Styela clava: one gene and its partner. The protein of the gene in region 2 interacts with the protein of the main gene of each other region in a pairwise test. Links are inferred from orthologs where the notes say so. Each region holds a gene or a part of one and is shown on either strand. Other genes may lie near its edges.

Region 1 (12,480 bases), on a different chromosome or scaffold from region 2:
TAATTTCGTTTTCTTAAAAACTAATGATAAAACTAATGCAACTACGGTAAGTATATTGAAGATGACTGACCTAATCCTATGATTCCTAACGTTTCTCCACGAATTCTTGTAGCTCCAGCAGCAATTTCTCTTACATTTTCACTGTTCTGTGGTCGCCTGCCTTCCTTTACTGATTCATGTAACCAAGTTACTCTTCTATATAAATTCAATATGTGACATATTGTTGTGTCGGCAACTTCATCAACTGTGGCAGCAGGTACATTACACACAGCCACTCCTGAAACAAAGAAATGTCTTTAGCTATATCACATGAAAACAAACTTGCATGAAATGAGAAATTCAGACAACATAACCTAGGCAAGCATTAGGCTTCTCAAACTGGGCCCTAGCGAGCCACAAAGTGGTTTTCTGGGAGCCACAAGGCATAGATGCCATTTGTGATAACTACAACAATTGAAAGTAAATTGACCGTAATTGTTTAATTCTTTGACTGCAGTGCTTTATTCTTTTGCTTTCATTCGTTATCTTTTTAATATTAAATGTAACGAATAAAACAACTGATGGAGAAGTGTCAAAAGCAAATCTAATTTTTTTTTTTATTCAGCAAAATCTTTGGAAGTGGCCACAAATCATTCAGGTTTGAGAACCATTGCGTTAAGCAAAGAGAAATATTCCATTCCTTTCTAAACTATATTAGCTCTATCTGCCCAAATAAGCATTGTGCAAAAGTGAAGATGTTAAATACCTCAAAAGATTAGCAATAAGAAAAATTTGAAGTAAAGATTTATAAAAATATATCTATTGAAAAGACGATCAAAACCATATCCAGTCATTATAAACTCCAATTTCATACGCAGAATACCCAAATCAAAGTAAAATGTATTGTTTTGAAATTTTTTCAGTTTTGCCTACCCATATCAGCAGCAGCTTTTATATCAACATTATCATATCCAGACCCTATACAAACTATGACACGAAGGGCTTTGAATTTTTCAAGATCTTCTCTCGTCAAAGGAATGCGTGACATCAATGCACCAACAGCCTCATTAAGCACCTTGAAAGATAAACAGTATGATATAAACAAATATAGCAACAACTCACAACTTTAACCCCCCTTTAAATTGAAACATTAGCAGTCATCCATCAAATCAAACATCTCAATTTGAGGGTTTCAACATGCTAGGGTGAATGTTGAAAGTTTCCAACAAAAAAATTTAAAAGCAGCTTTTCTGAACAAAGTTTGAAACGATATTCACCAAAGTTATTTCAGTGAAAAGCAGAGATGTTTAGAAGTCAAGAAAATACTTTTCCCAAATTTTCCCAAAAGGTTTTTTTCAAGTTTCCTCCGTTAAAGTTAGATAAATATTGGCAGTTTGAAGAATAAAATATGAATGAATTTCATGATAGAGCATTCAAATGAGTGCTAATCATTTAATTGAGTTTGATTTAATAACAAAACCATCATGTTGGTAGCAAATTCAAGATTCTGTAAATCACATAATATGACATATCACATTTCAGCAGCATACTATTAAATATTGAACAACAGAAATCAAAATAAACCAAAACAAAAATTCATACAAAAAATATTAGGAGATGGATACTTCCTAATTAGTACGATAAACATGTTTGAAAAATTCCAAGTATTTATACTAAATAACCACAAACATTTTTTGAATTTTCCGTTCAATTACATAAAAAATTTTTTTTTTTCAACTCAAAACAGTTCCAATCATTACCTTTTCATGTATTTCTTGTGTTGATTGAGCATCACAGAAAGCTACTGTTGCTATGTCTTTTAAAATTGGCATCTCCACACTGCAATCTCTTCCATCTAACAAGGCTACCAAAGGCCTTCCTCCAGCCATGGTGATTGTGATTAAAATTAGTCTAAGTCATGCAATGGCTGATATAACCTACTTATTTAATATTATACACAATTACAGAAAAATCTGGCAGCATGAATTAAATATGTTAAATGCAATTCCTAATAAATAAAATAAGTGATAATTTTATATAATTGGCTTCAAAATAGATACAACTATTAAACATTTGAAAGCGTTATTATTATAGAGCTGTCATTAGAATAAACTTTATTAAGAACCGTCATTTGTGTCTTTAATTCAAGACTAGTTTTGATTCCAGCCATGCATTATGGAAAGTCTCTTCACATTATTAGAATTTTCCAATTAGAATATGAACACACTGGTAGCTTCAAATCTAAGAATCTTTTCTTTAAAAAACAATCAAAATTATTTTCAACTAACGTAATCGCCATCCAAATGAACTCGTATAAAGAACTTGCATTAATGGACTTATACATGTGAATTAAATATCATAGGACTTATTACTAGAACATTGTGTTGTAATGCCTCTATACTCCCGTAGCTGAATTGAATATAGCGCCATATTACAGGAAACAGCTTCTGGTAGTAATTTAATATTTTTTCCTACTAAGAAAATCACATGCTGATGGAAAACAATATGATGCCGGCAGGAAGTGTACTTTATTTCCTGAGTAACCATATTACCCAAAAGCAAAACACTTTAGTATCGTATTTACAGCCTTACTTGATGTGAAATTTAGAGTGGGGAATTCACTAGTCATCATAAACCATGGCTAGAAAACCCGCCAAAACAAAATAAATTATTACAACTAAACTGTTTGGTGCAATGTTGACAATATATTTACTTAGCTAATGAAATGTGCTATAAAATACTAAAACTACTTCAAATCGGGAAATGTCCAAACCGAATATTTTGGATACAAACCGGTAGTTTTTAAGGTTGAATGTAAACTATTTGTTCTCACACATCAATTGATCAAAAGCTAATTTTAAAATGAAATTATTGTGAACTATAGTATTATCAAAAGTAAAACTTTATTGTAAACAATTTAAAAATCTGAAAATCATCGACTAGCCTATTTGATTTTTTCCAGAATTCCTAGTTCAAACTGTGCAACATCCTAATACAAATAGCGTCAACTAGCTTAAAAAATTTGAATTAATACACAGTTAGGAAAACATTTTATATAGCAAAACTATAAAAATTTGGAATGGTATTTCTGCAGTTGAATATAAATATAACGGAATAAAAAAATGCAAATAAATGGAGAATGGCACACTATTAAATTACTCTTGTCTTCGAGTAACTAGTTTAAAACAACAACAAACAAGGATCATCTATAATCAGCATCACATTCACAATTCGAATTGAAAATGAATCACAGAAATTTATTCTCGCAAAATTGAAGTTTATAAACAGTTTATAAACTTTTACCTTATTCAATTCAATTAACAAAATATTCCTTGTTATTCTGAATGCAAATATTACAAGGTACAACATGTTAATGATATTATGCATTAATCGTTACTTCATTGTAGAATTATCAGAATTAGATGATATTAGAACATCATAAATATTCAATGTTGCAATTGTTTTATACCTTTTTTCATTTGTGTAATGTATGACAGTTATTATGATACGGTAACTCGGTAATATGTATGAAAAATTTAACATGACTTTTGAATAAGCCAACTGAATGAAAAGTAATTAAATAAACAGACCGTACTGAACATAATTGAAGTTCTTCTGATGAAAAATTTCAAAAGTGACACACCCATTTAAATCAAACGAACCAATTGAACAATGCACATTTCTATTTGCTAAGTTAAATTCAGTCAATCTTGACTCTCAACATTTTACAATATACAGTCAATCTTGACTCTCAACATTTTACAATATATACATATATGTGTATGTACATATAGGTATATATTTTATGTCAGAATTCAAAGGAAATAGCTGTCACATATAAATGTGTGACTATGTTTAATCAGGTCCTGTTGATAAAGGTTATGAACAATTTTTTGATAAAAATATGTACAAAAATAGCTTTCCAAATTTGTATATAATTTATACAAAAATAGTGTAAATTACTATTTTTATAATTATCTCATTGAATAAATGAATAATATAACAAATTTGAAAAGCATAATTTTAAGTACCAACAATGAATGGCCATGCAGCTAAAAAAGCTCGTTTTATTCAGACAAATCATTTCGACCATAATTTTCTAAAACTCACATTATAACTGTATTATACTTTTCTAAAAACAAACCAAATGTGATAATTTAAGCCCGAAATTCCAATCTTTGATTCGAAAATGGTTTACATAGCTTTATTATAAGCTACATGTTTATTCCTGTATTCCAACAAAAAAAATTGAAAGAATATGGTCCATGTGAGTACTTTCAGTTCATTTGCAGTACAGTAGGGCAAAGTTCTCTGATTTCAAGAATAGCCCCCACATTAATAATCATCAAGTATAACAGTGAATTCAAGCCCCTCCTTTAGGAGACAGTCTTTGTCCAGTGTGTTTGTTCAGAATGCGACTTTCATTTTCAATTTCCGGTGTTGAATAATTTCATATCCCATTCTACCATTCCATTGGACATATTCTGACATTGCGGTATTCAATAGGATAGGATTAATTATAATTATATTATTGTTCATACTTTTCTCAGACTTCACTACTACAGCACTAGCCGACTACAATACCCTACTAGATAATAACATCAGACTTGCATCAAGTCATTCTATTTATTTTGAGCAAGTGAAAATGTCTACTCACTGACTCAGTTTCTGCTACAAAATGCTGAATGATAGGTCAGATACCGGTACCATGTCAAATCTGTAAGTCTGATAGTCGATACGAAACATCAATCGAGTCTTGACAAAAACAATCAAATGACAGAATGAGGATTTTCTCAAATTACAGATGTAAGTAAATCTCTTTTTTTTTCTTTTTTTTCATGGTTCCAACAAAGTGGAATTTTCAATAATTAAATAATAAATAAGGGACACATGTATGTACAAATAGGAAAATAAGTATATACATTAACGACAGCATCATCAATCACATGTATTTTCAGTAAATCTCTGTTCTTAAGTTAGAGCTGTAGAATGGTGTCAGCTATTCGGTCGATATGTAGGCTATGTCCACATCGACCGAATAGCTGACGCCATTCTACAGCTCTAACTTCAGAACAGAGATTTACTGAAAATACATGTGATTGATGATGCTGTCGTTAATGTATATACTTATTTTCCTACCGTAACGGTAAATTCTGAATGTATAATCAGAACGCTGAAACATGAACTTTCCCATTTTGGCGTTTTAATCGGCGACTGCCATGATACTTTGAAATCAAAATGTACTGACACCAGGACGCACATCACAAACTGACAAGAGTATTAGGTATGCCGCGGCGGTGTGGCTCAACGTGCTAAGCGTTAGAAATACGCTCGCCACCGCACCTCTAATTACTCTGCGTGGGTTCGCAGGTTCGAATCCCATGCAGGGATGGTTATGTGCGAGACGATTGCTGGACTCCTCGCCGTCGTTGGGTGGTTCACGTAACCGCTGGTCGGTTACGGCTTCCTCAACCACCAAGTCCATGCTTCCGAAACAAACAATATACCGGTAACTAATCCCATACCCGACTTGGAATGGTAACCGGACGAGAGGCAGTCTTATCGGCTTTCCTCTCCCCCGGGATAAATATGTACCGTAAATCCCATCCTATCCCTGTATCCTATTATGATGCCCGACACTGCAACACCCAAACACGCGCGCTCAGCCAGACCCTTGACTTCAGCACTGGGCTGCTCGAAGCTACCGATATCCACTGCTCAGGCAAAATGGCAGTGGGTGAGTGATAATCTTCGAGGTTAATAAAAACTAAAAAATTGGTTAAAATGGTTCATAACATACAGTATATTCGAAAGATTCTCGAAACATTGTGATTAGGCTAAAACGGAGCGATCGTGAGTCGTTAACCCACGGCCGGCCTATATAAGGGTGGGTGCGAGCAATTATCATTCAAATAGAAAGATAAAAGATATTAGTTTTTGGTAACAAGCAGTCTCATCGCTCGCCCTCATGCAGCACTCCTTCCAACCAGTGTAAAACGCATTGCATACACGTTGTTTTGTATGATATAAATATCTGGCCTATAAGATTTGATATTAGCCCGCGACCAGCTAAAGGTTGCCGACCGCAATTATCCATGAACCTAGATAATTCCGATCTACGCAATATCCCAAGAATCGTTTTTGAGGAGATTATTTTTGAATTGATGGTGCACTGGGATGCTAAATACAATCCAGAAAGAACTTTTTTTAATAATTCATCACCTAAACGGACCCATCACATAATATGCAATAGAACTTATTTTCATTTAACAAAAATGGTTTGGTCAATAGCTCACTCATCACATTCTTGAACAAGATGAACCCTGTCTAATTACTTGTTATTGGGGTTGTTATTATTGTTGTGAAAAAGAATCGCTTTCCTCCCAGATAAAGAAGCAAGAGCTTTCAAATTTGTAGTGCTTATAGAGGTTATATTAATTTATTTTCTTTATTCAGACTTTAGAGCAGGGGTCGGCAACCTACAGCCCGGGGCCAAATCCGGCCCGCGGAGTAAAATAATCCGGCCAGCGACGCTCCACTGAATTATAGTAACGGAACCGCTGTTATAACGATTATATTCTTTACCTAACATGATTTATTGTGAAACACGTGTAGACTAAATTATATTATAACCTAACAAGTATATAATTTACAATTACTCGTTTAAAAAGCCTATACTTAACTATAATTAGACAAATGGCAACAAAACGCAAAAAAGTTGATGCTAAGTGCAAAGGGTTCGATGGAACAGTAAATATTTGAATGGAATTTGAAGTGCAATGCAATGAGGAAATAAAGCTATATTCTATTCAAGAGATGTTTCACTGCTTGATTTTCATAAAAAGTATGTCCTTGAAGGAAAATTCTATCCAAATTTGACAAACTTTGCGAAAAGATTCACATCGATGTTTGGAAGTAGATATGCATACAAACAATTATTTTCGAAAATGAACAGTACAAAAATTAAGTTGAGAACTCGGATCAGTGATTCCCTTTTATAAAATGTTTTAATCTTGGCTTTTACCAGTGTCCCATTTAGAAAATGTTTCCCATTTAGTGATGTCGAAAACGTATCAGGCGTGATGCAACAAAAAGTGTCGCATTAAATTTCATTTGTAAACTTTTCTTTGGATAAGACGACTAAGTTGATTTCACGAGTTGTGAATTTCCCTTTCTAAAAAGATATGCGACCCGCCAAGACTGGCAACCCCTAATTTTGGTCCGCGAGCGACAAAAAGCTGCCGACCCCTGCTTTAGAATCTCATATGAAACGATGTTTCACCCAGAGTTTGGCTATTTCATTTATTTGATATTTGACTTTAGTATCCATATTTTGGCGCATTGATGTATTTTTATTATCATTATTTATTACAACAATTGTATTGATGTAGTGACTGAGTGGCGCAGCATAGAGATTAAGACTTTTAATGAAAATAAGCCATCAACGATATTAATTATGTTGGCTGGCACTTGAATATAAAATTCATTTGACCCCGAGTAAAATCGTTAGATAGCGCTAAGGTGTAGGGTTTATTTCACAGAATAACATTTATTGAACACGAAATGGAGCTATGGATCGTTTTGCTATTATGTTGTTGGTGGTGGCGGTACTTTATTCTTGTTAACTACTGGACCAATAGCTTCGAAAATTTCAGTTGTAAAAGATTGTTTTTTGTCTCTAGTCGGTATTACTTTTATTTATTCCTAGATTTCCTTGAATCTTATGAGATCTGATATTTCATCTAGTTTCATTTTTATTGACGGGAACAGTTTAGTACCAGCAATTATTGAATATTTCATTCTTGACCTCCTGATGACTACGCCATTCAAAAATTACCTCACAGTCGTCAATCACCTAATACATGAGAAATAGCTGGCTTCAGTGAGTTTCTTATCTTTGTCGCAGAAGCCATTACGGACGATCGCTAGCTCTACGCTGGCAAGATCTATGGACCTTTCCCCGACCTTTGACCCCCGGAAAATTCTTCCTATACTTTACCATTGCAAAATTTTCAGGGCTATTTTAAGAGTGCTTTTGCGAGTTGGCGCTTGTAAAATGGGGTATGTGTTTCAAACCATCATTATGATTCATCGCATACAACAATCTGTTTTTTAAAAGTACCGGTAAAGAATTTCAGGCTAGTCTATCACAGCTATTTCTACACTAATTTTTATTACTGCAATTAAATTAAAACTCCTAGGAAGACAGAGTGATCATTGAATTATCTGATTTTTATTTAAGTTTCCGAAACAGAACTGAAAACTAACGAATAGAGTTCAAAAACGCGAAAACGAGGTAATGTTTACAACCGCGCTTGAAAATCTGTCTGAGTGAGAAAAGTGTCTGAGCGGATGCGAAAAGGGGGCATTGTTACGTCACTTTTTGCATCTTGCTGATTGGCCAATGTCACGAAGTAAACAAGGAAGTCGCTGCTCGGGGAAAGGTCCATTACGTGGTTGTGACGTTTCGGTGACGTGATTTTTTAATAACGCAGTCAGCTATATATTCAAAAAATTGTTACGCCATGCCCACTAGAAATATACTTGTGGCACTAAACCACACTAGACCTAGTTACGATCACTGTTACACAGTTCGAGATTCGTTCAGGACATGATTTTGGGGGAATTGTGGGTAAAAATATTTCGTTTCGACTTTCGTGTCTAAATATTTAAGCATTGCTATCTTGTCTGTTACTTTGAATAATTCTATTTTGATTGTGCAACATTACTATAATGGACAATTGGAAACACAATAATGTGCGGTATATTGGCATCCGAATGAGTTAGATAGGGATTATCAATACATGTAAGTGCAATTGTGAAAGACTGAACAGGCACGCAATTCGGGACTTCTACCTGCAACAGATATTTTGCATTGCTGTTTCCTAGACCCTTCGATGATTTGGCTTGAAGTCAAAAGAATCTGAACAGTGTTGGCTATAATGTGAGCTTGACACATCAGATGAGGTATTTCCACTTTACAATACCCAAACCTTGTTTATAGACAATTGTTACACTGCAGAGGGATTTTATGCAAAATTCCTCATGTTTTGTGAAAAAGGTAAAGTCTTATATGTGTTTATCTATCGTCCGTTCACCAATGACTGAAATGATATCTGTAATAATATCGAAAGAATTGGACTTCTTGAATATCATTCCTGATCAGTAAGTTGCAACTTTTTTTTACGTAATTTTATATGGCAAATCCAATATATATATAGTATGGGTGCTTATCTTGAATTAAACAATTTTAAACAAATTAGGGTCCTAATTTTAGATCAAAATATTGCCTGGCGAATGATGCTCATTTTCCATCATTCCAACATGAATTGTCAAATAGTTAAAAAATGGCCCAATTGCTTTTTTAAAGCTTGCGAATCGAAATAGTGCCATTTGTGTGTCTTTTCAACTTTTTTCTTCTTATGATTTATTTAAGTGTCAATTCGCGATAACAATAATTGTGGTTCACAAGGTATTTATTGCCTACAGTAATCGCTGTAGCAATTGTCATCATTTATAATGGTTATTTTGATTTGGAATTTAAAATTGCAAACTATTTTAATACAAGACCGTAACGCTTAACGTAACAACTTTCATTTGGTGACGCGATTGATTGAACTTCAAATCAAACATATGCGAATTAGAAGACGAGAAATGTAATAGTAAACATGACACAGCGGTTATGAAAGTATAAAATCACGCGATAAAAAATAGCGTAGTCACTCCTTGTTTAGTTGCGATTAGCTTGTAATTATCAAAATAATTGCGTTCAGGTTGAACTCTCTTAGCCTTAGGTATGTTGGATATTTTGGTTGGTTCTCTCGTTCAACAAAATTGTCATAGAGTAGTATAATTTAATTTAGGAACTCCATATTTTGTATTTGTATCAGACAGTGTAAAATATTTGTAATGTTGTATAAAACTTATGTGAGATTAATATTGACCGATTCGATCGATCATTATTAAATACCGTTTTTTTTATCACAGGGAACAGATTAGTATATATTGAAGTTTTAGAATCATAATACTTTAGTAAGAAGAACACGTCAATAACGAGGCTATCGTCAGCCGGAAAAATATTCGTCACAAAAGTAAGTAGAGTCATCTTTTAAATATATTTTTGTCAGCAGGAGCTTACTTTAAACTCCGTTGAAGAATATTCGTGTTTTATCGCGCACTAGTCTTCTCGGCCTTAGGCGGGCTTGAGGTTTCCTATACTCATTTCTAAGAATCAAGTTTTCCGCACGTTAGAATTAGATAATTAGGTTTAGGTATTTGCTAGAGACATTTAAAATTAGTCTTTACCTAAATCATTGCACAGTCGGAAGCACACATTTTGCGTAGCTACCAAAGTAAATCAAACTTGTGGTCTATATATGGCAGTCTTCTTCGGAAGAGTCAATTCCATGGTCGCTCGGGACCATCTATATTCATTCCTTCTCCTACCAACTGTCTGTTGCATGTGGATTTAGCATTAATATATTTCAGGCTTGAAACTTTGTCTTTACAAATGTGTACATTAACCTATGGCGCCACGTATAGGCTGGCTTGTAAATCCTATTCTTATGAAGTTTTAAATTTTTAGGTCCTGTTAGGTGTTTTTAGTTTATAATTAATAATGCATTTACGTATTAAAGACTTGCAAACTATATACTCAACATATATTAAATTCTATATCGCTGATTACAATTTTTCTCTTTCTTCTCGAATTCAAATTGGATATCACATGGTATGCTCAATATTACTACGTGCATATTAATGATTATGTCATGCTTAGTCATTAGAAAACATCGACACAATATGCACGAACTAGAATTGAAATCTCTAAACTTTCTTTCGTCCTAGTGTGATGACTCATCAAAACGCTTCCTAAGAATAGAATGTAAGACTGCCAAATGTATTATTCTGTAGCATGACATAACTAAAGAGATTCCGCCATATTTCGCATATAATTAAATTGTGCATATATACGTAGACCAACGTTTTCACCATTAAGATATAGCCCACTTAATCACTGCCCATCAAGTGGAGCCAATTATGTTGAATATTTTGTCTCTTACTTTGAATGGACTGACCAAGTATAGCAGATTGCAGTTTTTTGCTTACGAATTATTTTACTTTTACGACAAATTATATTTGATGAAGTAGTAGTGAATATTCCCTTACTGTTTGGTACGGTCCATCGAAGCGGGCCGCTCAGCCGCTATCGGGCTGATGCGCATGGTCTTCGAAAAGCAGGATCTGGGATATATCAGACATGCTTGATCGAAGCATTAGTCAAATCGACAAATGACTAAATTATATTTTCAGAATAATACTTTTGTGGCGCAATTCAGACTTTGTTTATTGACGCCTTCGACCAGACAAGACCAGACAATTATACCATGCGAGTGATAGACATTGCTAGAAAGCTCAATAATAATGCAGTAAACTCTCTGGCACAGAATATCAATGCGGGGTTTATCAATGATGGGCATGTTTAATGTTCTAGCTTGTTGTCCAAGTTATTTCAAGAAATTCGATCCAACTCTAGGTGTTGATATTGAAAATAGAGAATTAACTTAAATATTCTTGAAAACGACTTTTGCTTATTTTTGCGTCCATGTATTACACAGTTCTTAGAAAGTGTAAAATTGAGTACCAATAGTATGTGTTTTTAGCTTTGTTGTCCCAATGAATGCGTTTCCGCTCGACTAATCAAAGGTAATGCAGAAAGTAGCCAGGCAACCGCACCGTAAAATGCAAGAACACAAATGGCAAAATTTTAAAACAAAATGTACTCGGCGTTCCGGATAATCAATGACTTGCACTTATGCATGGTATACCAACGCAAAGAAAAACATTCTCACGTAAAATGGCGCATACACACGCCTAATCGGAAAAGCAGATGGTTTTACGTTTGAAGGATTCTGTATTTGAGTTCGAGGGCCTTTTTCTAGACATATAATTGAAGAAATACTATACATGCAAAACATTTCGTCGCTAATCTATATATGGAGAGATTTTCCACAATGTTATCAGACAGAGTAAAGAAATATACTGTTTCGCAATCAAAATTAGAATCAGTCTATAGTCAGTTTAATATGTCAGAAGCCTTCATCAAATACAACTTTTCATTATGCTTTTTTATAATAGCCGTTTGTATTCAGAACCTGCATTCCTAACTCCGAAAGGCAGGATATGTAAAATATTGTACATTTATAAATTGTTATCGAACGATAACTCATGTAAAGCAAATCTCATATTAGGGATATTATTATAAAAACTTTGAGCCTGGCACAATTTTAAGGAAACAAATATTTGAGATTCCGTCATGTGAGTGTCACAAACATCCAAACAAAATAACGTCACTCATCACGTCACCTGGTTTAGTATTTGGAATCAAACAACAACCTCAATAAGGTAGTTCATGATTTCCTATCGTCGCGTCACTGGTGGAAGGAAAATATTTGACTTTCCGATTCACTAAATAAGTAAATAAGTTTCGAACTTATTTGACAA
Region 2 (12,593 bases):
CCTGAAATTAGGAACTGATCAGACCTATCAAAAATTTAATTTGTTCGGTATTAGATATATATCCGATATTAGATATAACCTTTTGATCAGAAGAGTAAATGTTTCATATCATTTCAGTCTCTGATCCGTTTATTGAAATTAAAGTCCAATAGATTATGCATTTGAATCCTATCTAATACACAGTCTGAAGTGGAGATTAAAATTAGTGTTCCCCTACGAATTATGCAAGATCATTAACACCAGCTTATAAAAAGAGTTATAAATATTATACAATCCAATAAAACAAATTGCAAAAAATGTTATGAGTAAAATTGCAACAAAATACAAACTGATAAAAACTCAATGGGAACACAGATTAAGTCACTTCGACAAGAAGAAGAGAGATTATGATCAAGACAATTGGCATTATCTGATCATAAAGCACATTGTTTTACATTTAATTTGAGGATGACAGAAGCAAGAACATCAGATTATATCAATGAATGACACTATCATGAAATTTTACCTCCAAATCGTGAGGTGTGCCACTATAATCTTGGCATGCCATCCATTTTAACAACATAGGAGTGGCATAGGCTGTCGAAATTGTGGTTTTTAAGATATTGAAAGTCTCCTAACCTTGTCAAAATCATAGGAAATACAAGGTCAAATTTCAGTGCTATGTTACATTATAGGGTATACTAACAATATTGGTATAGTTGGTAATGTGCATATGAAATGTTCGATACAGATCTAGTGTAATCAGTGTGGCCAGTGTGATTTCAATATTTTTAATATATAGTTGAAATACATGGTGTCCATAAAGTCCTATTACAATTTCAATTTTGTTATAAAGTCAGACTTTATGGACACCCTATATATCTTTTCAAATAACATTAATCTTTCCCCTATTTTTCATCCCTATTTTTAACACATCACTCTTTTAATCATGTCCTAATCTAATCTAATATACATATGGAAACATAGATAATTATTATTTATATTCAATATTTTAAATTTGTGGTATCAAGAATAATTTGGACTAGTTTCAATTTAAAATTGTCAGATTGAGCAGTTGAAGTCTTACAATATAAATAAAAGACCTTCATTCCATTTCTTAATTTCTTAAAACTGTGGTTAATAAATAATCACTGATTATTGCATCCCCTCCCAAAAAAAATAAAAAAAATGTAAAGCCGATTTCAAATATTGTTTAACATTTCTGGATGAACTTGATGAATTTTCTCAAAAACGATTAAATGAATTTAATCCACTGTTAATCTTCTGCTTTGATCAATTACAATTATAACACAGTTCAATTGCATGATTCACAAGTTCAAACACATTCTCTGCCGGATTAAATCAGACTTTTGTAAAGTTAATACTTCGTTAAGCCAACTTCAAAGCAAGGATGATCGAAATGTGAAATTCTATAGCATAAAAGGAATTAAGGAATATCATCTTAAATTATTCACTTGGTTTTGGTATGATTCAGTTGGAAAATTCGAATAAATTTTGATTTTATTTTAAAAAGCGTTAGATAATTTTTGAATATTAGTGACTTGAAAATTACAATCAAAAGAAATATATTATATTTTATAAAATGATTACGGCCCCAACAAAGCGAATGCGATCGGCCGTGCCCCAGCGCCCTCACGGGGCTCCAGGTCCGAAAAGACTCGTCAACGGCGGACACGGACTACTCCTATAAAGATATATGAAAGTGGATTCCAATGATACAATTCATCCAAATACAATCTGCCATTACATTTTGTGTGGAGCCTATTTCAAACAGAATAAAACATCTCATAAACCAGTGGTTCCCAAATCAAGGCCTGTAACGATTTAATATGGCCCGCCGAACTTAAGTGAAATAGTTAGACACTTTATGTTTTTTCTTTTTGCCTCCAAGATACCACAAAATTGTTACATGATCATCATTATATTATTGTAACAATTCAAATATATCGATATGTTATTTATATGTACCGGTACGGGTATGGGCCCCTTGCGGGCACTTTCTCTCTTGGCCCGCATCCTTCCGCTTATAATTTTGGCCCCCGGTCAATCAAGTTTGGGGACCACTGCCATAAGAACATCCCATAATCCAGCTATTCTCAGACATTAACATGATCTTGTTAAAACATCACTGTAATCATGCTACATACAGAAATAAGAGACAAAAATTGACGAACATTATTATTAAGGTGCTCCTGAAGTATGCGAACCAAGATGGCGGACATCGAAACGTAGCATGGGTAACAGGTTAAAGTTAGGCCATAATTTTATTCCAATTTTCCCTATTTTAGTCCTACTATGAGTTCGAAGACTAGCCAAGTGCCTCTTGTAGTATTTGTACCTAAAATTATGGCCTAACCCTAACCTAGTACACATATTACATTCCGATGTCCACCATCTTGGTTCGCATACTTCAGGAGCCCCATTATTAATGTATCTCAGACAATTTGCAACTAAAGCAACTTTAGTAAGCAACTAAATTTCCCTGTCAAACATCTGACAATCTGTACTTCATCTTACCTGATTTTTCTTTTATTTCACAAAGGACTTGAAACAGAGCTCCTTTCATTCTATGAACATTCAATGCATGTTTCCTGAAAACATGAATAATATGCATTAATAAGTTAATTTATAGCAAATAGAAATAAGAGAACCACGCAGCATATGAAAAACTTGAAAATTTTGGCTGTGAATGGGAGCATATCCACGGCCCAGGAAGCAAATAAAAAATATCCTGAAAACTTTTAACATATTATATTCAAATATTCGATTCATTGGTGAGCTATCAATACTAAGTTTATTCTTATAGTTTAAATCCCAGCCTTGAGCACAACTTGTAAAACAGTCAAACATGGGTATTGATCTGACATTGGCAAAGTAAGTTTGGTAATTCAATCTGGCCCGCCTGATGCAGCCACAAATAAACTAAAACCAAATTTTGATGTTTTATCCAAAAAATAACATAACCCAAGTAATTTGTTGAGATTACGATTAAATTTGATTTTGGCATGAGGCTTATTGTAACACTGCAAATATTGTAACACTGCAAATATCGTTCATAAAATGTAACGTTTCATGTCACACTTACATGGCCCGCTAGTCTAGGTGGGCAAAATTGTTTAGCCCCTGGTGCAAAAATCTTGCTCCTCTGGTATAGATAGACAACATAATGTACCATATAGGCAGACATGTTTGGTGCAAACATCCTAAGACACCTAATTTACCACCACCTTACATAGTTTGAGATTTCCCGCTACAGATTTAAAGGTGTAAATAAAGTGAAAACGAGAATATCGGTCGGAGACCGAAGACTTATAGATCTTAGATCGGTAATTAGTTAATAACTCGCTAATTATACGACATAATTAACCCAAAATCTATAGGCTTCTGGTCCGAGGTAAGATGCATGCACATGCAAAATTTGGAGCAGATTCAACCACGCGTTCGTGAGATATCGCGTTCATCTAACAGACAAACAGACAAATACCTATCAACATACTTACCGATCTTAAGATCGATAAGTAACAATTAGAAATTTATTCAACATATTTTCAGACATCTTGTAAAAGTTTCATCAGCACAAGAGTGAAAATAAAATTTCCAAAATAACCTGGCTTGAGCTTCGTCCAAACTTTGGTCAGTAATCGTCATAATCTGTTGCAAAACATCACTGATGTCTTGTTTTCTACCGAGAGGTAGAATATTTGATTGTGAATCTACATCGTTGCCTTGTTGTCCTCGTGGATTGTAATCTCCACCTCCGTGCATTTGCCCTTGCAAAAATGCCTGGGAACGCAAAATAATAATGTTAGTAATGCAAAATTCACCCTGCTGATTCTGTAGGGTTATTTTTGTCCAAAGACATATATTGTGTTTAACGTTTTCACCAATTTTGCAGCCAAATCAAACTGGCAGGGGATATGTATTAGAATTTCAAGTGTAGTATCTAGTGTCATAACAATTTCACAGTCTCAAAAAGAATTGCCAAAGTACCTCGCAGTTTTTGCAAAAAGTGCGCTGATAGTGAACACTGTAGCCCAATGCTTTTCAACATTGTTTCCACGAAGCGCTTATTGGGGTTCTGTGGGATTTGGTAGCTCGGCGACAGATTCTCTTTCAGTGGACTGTGTCAATTTCCCTATACCTATATGTGTGAAGCAGTAATTTCTACTCTAGTAACTATTATGAATTAAAATATGAGTCGCTTGAATAGTGGATATGTGCATAAGGATTGCACTGAGCAACATGAAGCCACGATTTCAATGAAACACAGAAATATTCGACTTTCATAAATTTATAAGTGTTTTTGAACAATCGTGGTTCCTTGATGAGACCAATATCATAATTACAGTAGGGCACAGTTTCCTGATTCAAAAATGTCCCCACATTTGGTGCAATAAAACAAACACTTTATTTGTCTCGGAAACCAAGGCATCTGGACCAAAATAGCATTTTTTTTCATAACTCTCCAAGCTACACTGCTGTTATCGAAGCCAAAAGTAGGGGTTTGCATTCACTGTTATAATTGATGTCTTTCAATGTGGGGTCTTCCAATTCTCAAAGAACTGTGCCATACTGTATTAGATAAATATAAATTAAGTGCCACATGCTTTTTGGGGCAAAAATAATGCACTTAATGCAGAAGTTCTACTAGACTATAAATCTAGAATCCAAGTTTAAGGGTAATTCGAAATTTTCAGATTACATAAGGACAACCAACAGCATAGACTCTTAGAGTAAGCAATTGAAAGTGAAATCTTGAAAACTAGACAATATCATTTGAGATTATGCCGGTACAGATATAGATAGATAAGATAAGTTTATTTCGACTCCATAATCAGCAAAAAGGCATAAAACGGTTGATAAAAACAAATAAATAAAAACTGATTATGAAATCAGCAGAGTAAACAAAACCTTGGATAAGGTTTAAAACGTACAGAATACTGGAATATAAGATGGAAGGTACGGGTATTGCCAAAAAGAAGTGGTACGTGTTCATTCACCTAAAACTATTGAATCAAACCATTCACACTCACACACATGTAACTAGTATTAGAATATTAATCAAAATGAGAATTTGCAAAGTCATTTTTCAACTGATTGAGCAACTCACCTGGCTGCCGTAATTCCCTTCATCCATTTGTAGCCACAGAATTTCCTTCAATTTAATTTTGCTAGATCCAAAATCCTGAAAATTACTTATTATGTCAAAATGAAAAGAACGAACTAAATCTGTAGTCTAAATACAAAAATAACCTCCAGTCTGCCACTAGAATATAGTTCATTACATACCAAAAAAATCCAATATGGATATCTACCTGACCTACATAAGTCTGTAAGTAGGCTACGGTATTACTTTATAGATTACGGTACCACTTTATACAAAAAAAAATAATGAGAAAAGCGTTTTTTTCACACAAATGCACAACTACATAAAAATGAAACGACCCATAGGTCCCTGTTCGTGTTAATAAACTAAATTAGATCCTCAGTTTTGGTATTACAGAACCTCCAAAATAAGTAAATATGCCAAAATAAACAAAAGTAAATATCATCCTACCCGAAAAGCAACAAAAGTTTGAAGCAGCAAAGCGCAACTTCGACCGACTTGCGCGTGAAAAAAACACTTCGAGTGCCCACTTGTGGTCAAACTAGAATTTACTCTTATTTTATATCAACCCCGTGCAACTAACTTGTCCCATTATGGCGTCATATGGACGCCATTTTCGATCATTCGGCTCGAGTAGTGTAACGCAAACAAGCCTAATTTTAGTAGTTTTAAAAGGCTATTGGGGCAGATTTAAATCAGTAGTTATATTCCGAGGGCGCAGAAATCCGATAGGATGTCGGGGCATTTACATTAAAAACCCACGACGCTCGGTAACAAACATAATATAGACGCAACGCACGGTTAGTAAAGTAAAGTTTATTTCGGTTTTTCGTAACACTAAAACAAATATATAGGCAATGCAAGTCAACACACACTCATATAGCCTACGGAAAATCGGGAAAGTAGGCAAAATCTTAAACTATTCAAGACCTGCTGATGCTAGGGCTACCAACCGTCCCGGGAATGGCAGGGACAGTCCCGGATTTGACGTCTGGCGTCCGGAATTTACTGACAACCGAAGCGTCCCGATGGCGTGACAAGACCTCCGTGATGATGTTTCCATTAGGATAGTAGACAAACACAGTTTCACACTACAACAGGCCTAAATGACTAAAACTAACTAAATTTTTCGACAGTGAAGGCGACGTCAAATGGGACTGTAGCTAAATATTGATGTCAATGTTACATTAGAAATTCGCCCCTTTTTAGACACTCCAGGCTCCAGCTGCATAACTGAGTTGTAAACGTTCTTACCAATGGCAGTACAATGAGAGAGAGAGATTTCAATATTTTGTCAACCAAAAAATACAGTCATCAATAAAATAGCCATAGCCACAATTTTGAGAAAAACGCAAAAAACAATTTGGAATTTTTTCATTCTTGAATATCTATTCTAGTCTATCTATTCGAAGTGATCAATATTAAGTTTAACCCTGAGAGATGACTAATGGCAAAACTTGAACTATTTAGATAATATTTTTACAATAAATTTGTGAACAAAATGAGGGGATGTGATGGAAAATTATACCTGACTGATACCTGAATTCAATGGGGTTCGGACGATAATAATCAGAAAAAAAAAAAAATTGGCTATAAACACAAAGTGGATCAGGGACAAAAAAATTAATGTGATGAGGATGTGTCTGAGCGTGAATAACAAATAAAATAAAGTGCAACCCAGTGGACATACACATTACACAGAAACACATTGGATAGGGCAAGAGGAATTCTATTCATAGGTTTGTCATGATCTGAAAATGTTTAAAAATTGCATGAACTTTATACATATGTTTGGGATTTTTGCAACCTTGCACTCCAAGAATGTTAATACTTATAATGTACTTATCAATAAGTTTTAGCAGGTCGGGTTTTGAAAATGTTTCTGACTCACACAAGAGGATCAATCAATAGAAAAATTCAATAATTCACATCTTGGGAATCGTGTCTACAAATCAAAGCGAGCAATGATTATCATAGGAATAGTGAACATTTTTATTTAAATCTTTGGTGTTACAGTATGATTCATGAAACCATTACAAACAAACTAATAGTCTAGAATTTGGAAATAATTTGATTAACCAATAAAAAGAAATGATACTTCATATCAACTATCAAAGACATGAGAAAAAGACCATTCAATTGATCAAGAATAGCATGTAAATACCTTAATATGAAAGACATAGAAAAGAAGTGCTATTCGATTGATCAACAATTAAAATTTTAACAATTAAATAACAAAGAAATGAAAAAGGTACAATAATTGAAACTTCAGCAGTATGTGTACCAAGTGACGGTTAGCCCCATATTTCATTCCGACCTTCCTCATCTTAGGTCATCACGAGCTCTGAACTGCCCATGTCAGCCAAGCGATGGCGACTACATACGAGTGGCTGATTAAAAACGCAAAAAAATAGCACCCCCGTGTTATAATGAAAGTGTTATGTTGTTTCATATCGCAAAAACGATTAGAGGGAAATGCCCCCCCCCCCCCCCAATTTTCACATTTTTGTACTTTTTTATATGACCCAACATTATAAGTTTCTGACACAACTGGTTCGTCCTGGAGTCGGCTGTTTCAATCAAACCCAAAACGTTTAAGAAATGATTTACGAGACATTCAAACTGGCAATTAGAGTTTACTTTGGCATTCACAACTCACTGTAGGCCTATTGTTATTTTTTGAAACTTCATCTCAGTCAATATTTTAGTTGATACAATTCTTGATGATTTGAATTTTTTGGTGGATTTGGCACATCGAATATTGTCATTCCCTTTTATTTTAATTTTTTCCATTTATCCGTACTCTTCGGTTCAAATTGGTATTCTTCAAAAGTGAGTCTGAAAAAGGAATGAGTTGTAGGTTACACAATGAACGTACTTTCGAAATACCAAGCGTTCAGCATCCCATTTTAACACAAAATATAATTGACAGTGACTTAACGAAACACGCATTCAGTTCAGAAATTCATTATTTCCACTAAGCTCCGAATTGTCTACTCATATTGCTGCTAATTACTATAAATTTTTGTTACTGCAGTGCTTTAAACAATCGTGACAATAAATCTGATACATTCAATGCAATGTTCTGACTTTGCATTACTTAGGAAGATTTGAAAACAGTTTCCCTAACCTGCTGACCTGACATCTGAAGCCAGCATTTAGAAAATCTTACTAATTTAACTCAACTTTCCTGGGGTCAGAGCTAACTTAAATGAGTCGAATCGGCAACGTGACATAAATAATTAAATATGACATCATCCTAAAACTGTGTACCACCTATCTTTCCTGGTGTTAGTTTGACATTAGGCCATTCGTTTGACTAACCTCACTCAAGGAACTGCCTGGGCCAGATTTCCAGCCTTTACGTCGCCTACAGTTATTTTCCCATTTCCTCCTTCTCTGCATCTGATGATAGCTTCAATAGTTGCACTGTTTTGCTATTCCCGCTGCAATTAGAGTCGAACAGCCTTTAATTCTATAGCAGAAGGCACCAGCCTAGCCGCGGATCACGCAGAACCGCCGTAACCTCGCAGGCGATATTGATCGAAAATGGCGGCCAATTTCCATTGTTGCGCAACTTAGGTATATAAGGACTTTGTTTTATATCAAGGGCCGGCAACCAACTTGCCTAATGTTAAACAGGTCCATGGACGCCATCTTGTGCCATATTTGGAAAACACGAAACAATGGAGTCTTATGGGAAATTTTCGTCGTGTTGTTGTACCGAATCAAATAACTCAGCTGTTAGTGGAGCAAGACTGAAACCGAAGGGTGGATTTTCAACGCCAAGCTATGAACTATGTAAATATGTAATAAAATATGAAGTACAACACTATCTATTGCAAAAAAATTGGCCGCAGAGACAACGTTGTGCAATTTTTCGATCAGGTCCTCGGAGATCTTTATTGCGACATACCGATTTGACGCTTAACAATGCAAGTATTCTGACGCAACAATGGATTTTATGTAATTAGATCCAAGTCCTTATTTAAAATAAAAACCCTACACAATTCAAATACCTTGTGAAAATGGGATTTATTATTATCAAATTATGTATTATTTTGCTATAAATCCGAACACGCGTAACTACTCTTGCGCATGGAACAAACAGTCGAACACGCATAGTTCACTAGGACAAAAATATACTGTATATTTGAACAATATGTAAGTGGCCGACGGAATTTAGCTGAAAATATATTTTAATAGTATAAATGCATTCGTGTAATATAATTAATGATAACCGTAACGTTGATGAAGTAGAACATCGAAGAGTACCTAACAAAATCGAATAAATTAAAAACAATCAAAAAATTTCAAAATGGAATCAAAATATATATACAGGTCTTTGACTACCTAATATTTGTTGCGCGAGCAGCGCTTCTGCTAGCATATTGGTGGCATATACTTTTTTGGGTTGCTCTCCTAGCATAAATTCGCATTCTCAAGAGAATGTATCTATCTATAATTTTTTCAATTAAATTATGGCAACTGGAGAACAATGGTCGTCTTAAGCATTCGATTTTTTGTTTTAATAATGCTTTTGGATTAGGCTGCAATTTTAAAGTTTTTATGTTGAGCCGAAAAATAGATTCCAGTTGTTGAAAATATTTAAGCAGGGACAGTGATGGATGAATCAGGTGCATCGAATTTTCGGTTGATATTAAGTCTTTATTATATGATTTAAAAAGTGTTAAAAGGGCTTCGGGACAATCCTTCATATTGATCGTATATTCTTGCCTACAAAATGATTTTTCACACGTTTCACATTTTTCTATATTTTTAAGTTCTTTAAAAACAGCCCATCCTAAAATATAATAAAGCCCGTTGGACTCGCAAATGTCCATGCAGACGACTGCAGATTCAATAAGTGCGTCCACTTCATTGATTTCGATGTTCGGTTGTGGCTCATCATTCGTCAAAGAATATGAGGCATTGCTATGTTCTTTTATAAATGTTATCAAGTTTTCTGAGTCGTCCGTGTCGTAATTTCCACTCGAGGGAACGTGGAGAAACTGACCAACCGATATTAATTTTATTGCATTTCGGAATTGACATGCCTTCGGATGCGAATTTCCCTTACTTCGCACCTGTGATGTTAAAAACATTTCATTCAGAGATCACCATACGACTATATAAATGCAATTACGATTTATTTAATATATTCTATCGCTGTACTGAAAGATAAGACAAAAAATAACCTGAGAGAATAAATTCTCTACAGCATCTTGTGTTAGTTTTCCAGGTAGTAAAAAATTCATTTTTCCGCCTAGCACAATGTCAGCATGAAGCCCGATTATCGAAGTTGTTGATAACTTAATACCGGATTGAATTGGCTTCGATTTGTTTCCTGGAAATACTAAATTCTGTACGACGCCGATCACCTAAAATATTTGGTGCCCGTTTAGTATGCGATTTTACTTACAATATATATGATGTGTCACTTACAACAGACCTCGATAAGGTGATCGAGCTTTTTTCGAGAGTTAGGGAACAGAGCATTATCAATGGACCTGGCGTTTACAATATCGAACCATTTGTTGAAGAATGAACAGAAGAATGATGTCGACAAAGCATCTCTTGGCAGTACGCCACTCTCCACAAGCGTTTTTATTGCGCATGCTGTACTATGACTGATAACCTATGAAAGATGGAGTTTAATGTAAAATTCTAACTCATTGGTTTATGAAGAAAAAAAATGATTTAACAATATTTTATTTCAGCAAAAATGTGAAATTACGACTTTTATACTGTTACTTCAATATTTTTAAATAGGTAGAAATATACTGAAATACAGGTAGACCTGAGCCGCTAGACCAACTCTCATTTTTTGATATTTTGAAGGTTTTATATGCTTCTCCGTGAGCTTTGGGGCAAGTTTCATCTCTTTTTCTCTCTGTTCATCTGCCACTTTCTCAACGTAACAGAATCGAACCTGTGGTTAGATAAATTTTAGATTTAGCCTATAGGTATAATACACTTACTGCGCATTTTTATCAAGCACATTTTTGATACTCACCATTTTTGTCGGAAGATTATATTTCGTAACGACAGATGCTGGCAATTCAATGTCATGATTCATAAAAGCTGTTCGTAAATTTTTTATAAGGTGCGGTACGTCGGCAATAAAATGAAGTTTCCTATGTTCGAAAGCAGGGTGAGGCACAGACCAATTCACTTCGAATCTAAAATAGAGTAAGCAATGAGAAGTTAATATGGTGTAAATTGTAATGGATAGGCTTCTTCGTGATATATGTATACGCGGATATCACATCCTTAAAATTATTCAAACCTGTTAGAAACTATCCCCGCACTTCTCCACATTGCTTGATTGCTGGATCCCATGTCGCTGACAATAGAAACCACCGTGAATCCACGTTCTGATAGAGCTAATATCATTTGTTTGGTTAAGCACCATAGGTCATTTCCGCTCACAGAAGTTCCGGTGTAAAAATAACCTGAGAAGTCACAGCAAATTGGAATAGCCTACTATGTTTGATAGAAAACAACAAAATAATGAGCAAAACAAAGAGTATTCCACCCCACCTATAAGCTGCTTCCACTTCAGAGAAATTCCCTTAACCATGAAACATAGCGCATGTGAGGCAAACGTGTCTAGAGGTTTTCCACCAAGAACTTCAGGGTTAATATAACCAACAAACTCCTTAATGCCAATGTCGTAGTCGACTCCTCTGGATATCTGAACCTCATCCAGCATTACCGAACACAAATGAGCACGAGTATCCAAGCCTTCCATTTTTGTCTTCATCCAATCCAATATCAAATATTGAACCCCAGCTTTCAGATCCAATTTGAATACCCGTGAACATAACGTTCGATAAGCTGGAAGGGGGAACGCTATTTTGCGCAGATATTCGTACCTTAAAAAAACAAATAAATATATCATGTTCATTTGCATTCAAGGTGACGTTTACCGCAATGTTTATATGTATTACGTATATATATATATGTATCATGTTTCCGGAAACGCAAAATTTAAATATATTTTTTTTGAGCATGCCCAGAAATTAATTACGCATAATTGGTTTTTAACAACTTTTAGAATCTCAGCAGAGACTGAACTTATTTTTTTTTTATCATACCCAGAAATTCCTGTCGCACATCTAATTTGCAGGGCAGAAAGAATTGTTTCGTCAGTCCATTGATTTGCCCTGCTACCACGAGGCTTTTTCAGTGATTCCAGTTGGTCAGGATTCAAAAATGTATGTAAATTTTCCTTCAGTTTCTCCACTTGTTTTTGTAGTTGTGAAATCTAAGATGCAAGTAACGAGAAGATTTAATCAAGCTCAATAACTATGTTGTTAGTTCAAATTGACTAAAATACACGTTAATGGTTATCACTTAGGTTGCACCAGAATTTCGACAATTAAGCAAAAAAAAACGTAATATTTACTTGGAATTTTAGTCTTCTGTTTTCAGACAATAGTGCTCTGCAGGTAGAACAATCAGGCCCCGTAGTACTTTTTCC

The links.
Region 1: the proteins of pre-B-cell leukemia transcription factor 1-like (region 2) and C-terminal-binding protein 1-like interact in a two-hybrid assay, tested with the Drosophila melanogaster proteins (2 studies listed by BioGRID, with this or other methods). The link is inferred for Styela clava from reciprocal best matches to the Drosophila melanogaster genes exd and CtBP.

What each region holds. Positions count from the first base shown.
Region 1 is NC_135251.1:22,307,787-22,320,266, reverse strand, and holds the start of C-terminal-binding protein 1-like, read right to left. Parts: upstream 4,784-12,480; 5' UTR 1,869-4,783; coding exon 1,740-1,868; intron 1,055-1,739; coding exon 913-1,054; intron 278-912; coding exon 71-277; intron 1-70. UniProt on the Drosophila melanogaster protein: Corepressor targeting diverse transcription regulators. Hairy-interacting protein required for embryonic segmentation and hairy-mediated transcriptional repression.
Region 2 is NC_135254.1:7,435,261-7,447,853, reverse strand, and holds the start of pre-B-cell leukemia transcription factor 1-like, read right to left. Parts: upstream 5,627-12,593; 5' UTR 5,558-5,626; intron 5,186-5,557; 5' UTR 5,138-5,185; coding exon 5,111-5,137; intron 3,784-5,110; coding exon 3,608-3,783; intron 2,592-3,607; coding exon 2,518-2,591; intron 1-2,517. Other genes in the region: uncharacterized protein LOC120327068, read right to left, coding at 9,716-9,773, 9,866-10,194, 10,306-10,365. UniProt on the Drosophila melanogaster protein: Transcription factor which acts with the selector homeodomain proteins altering the regulation of downstream target genes such as wingless (wg), teashirt (tsh) and decapentaplegic (dpp), thus affecting segmental identity.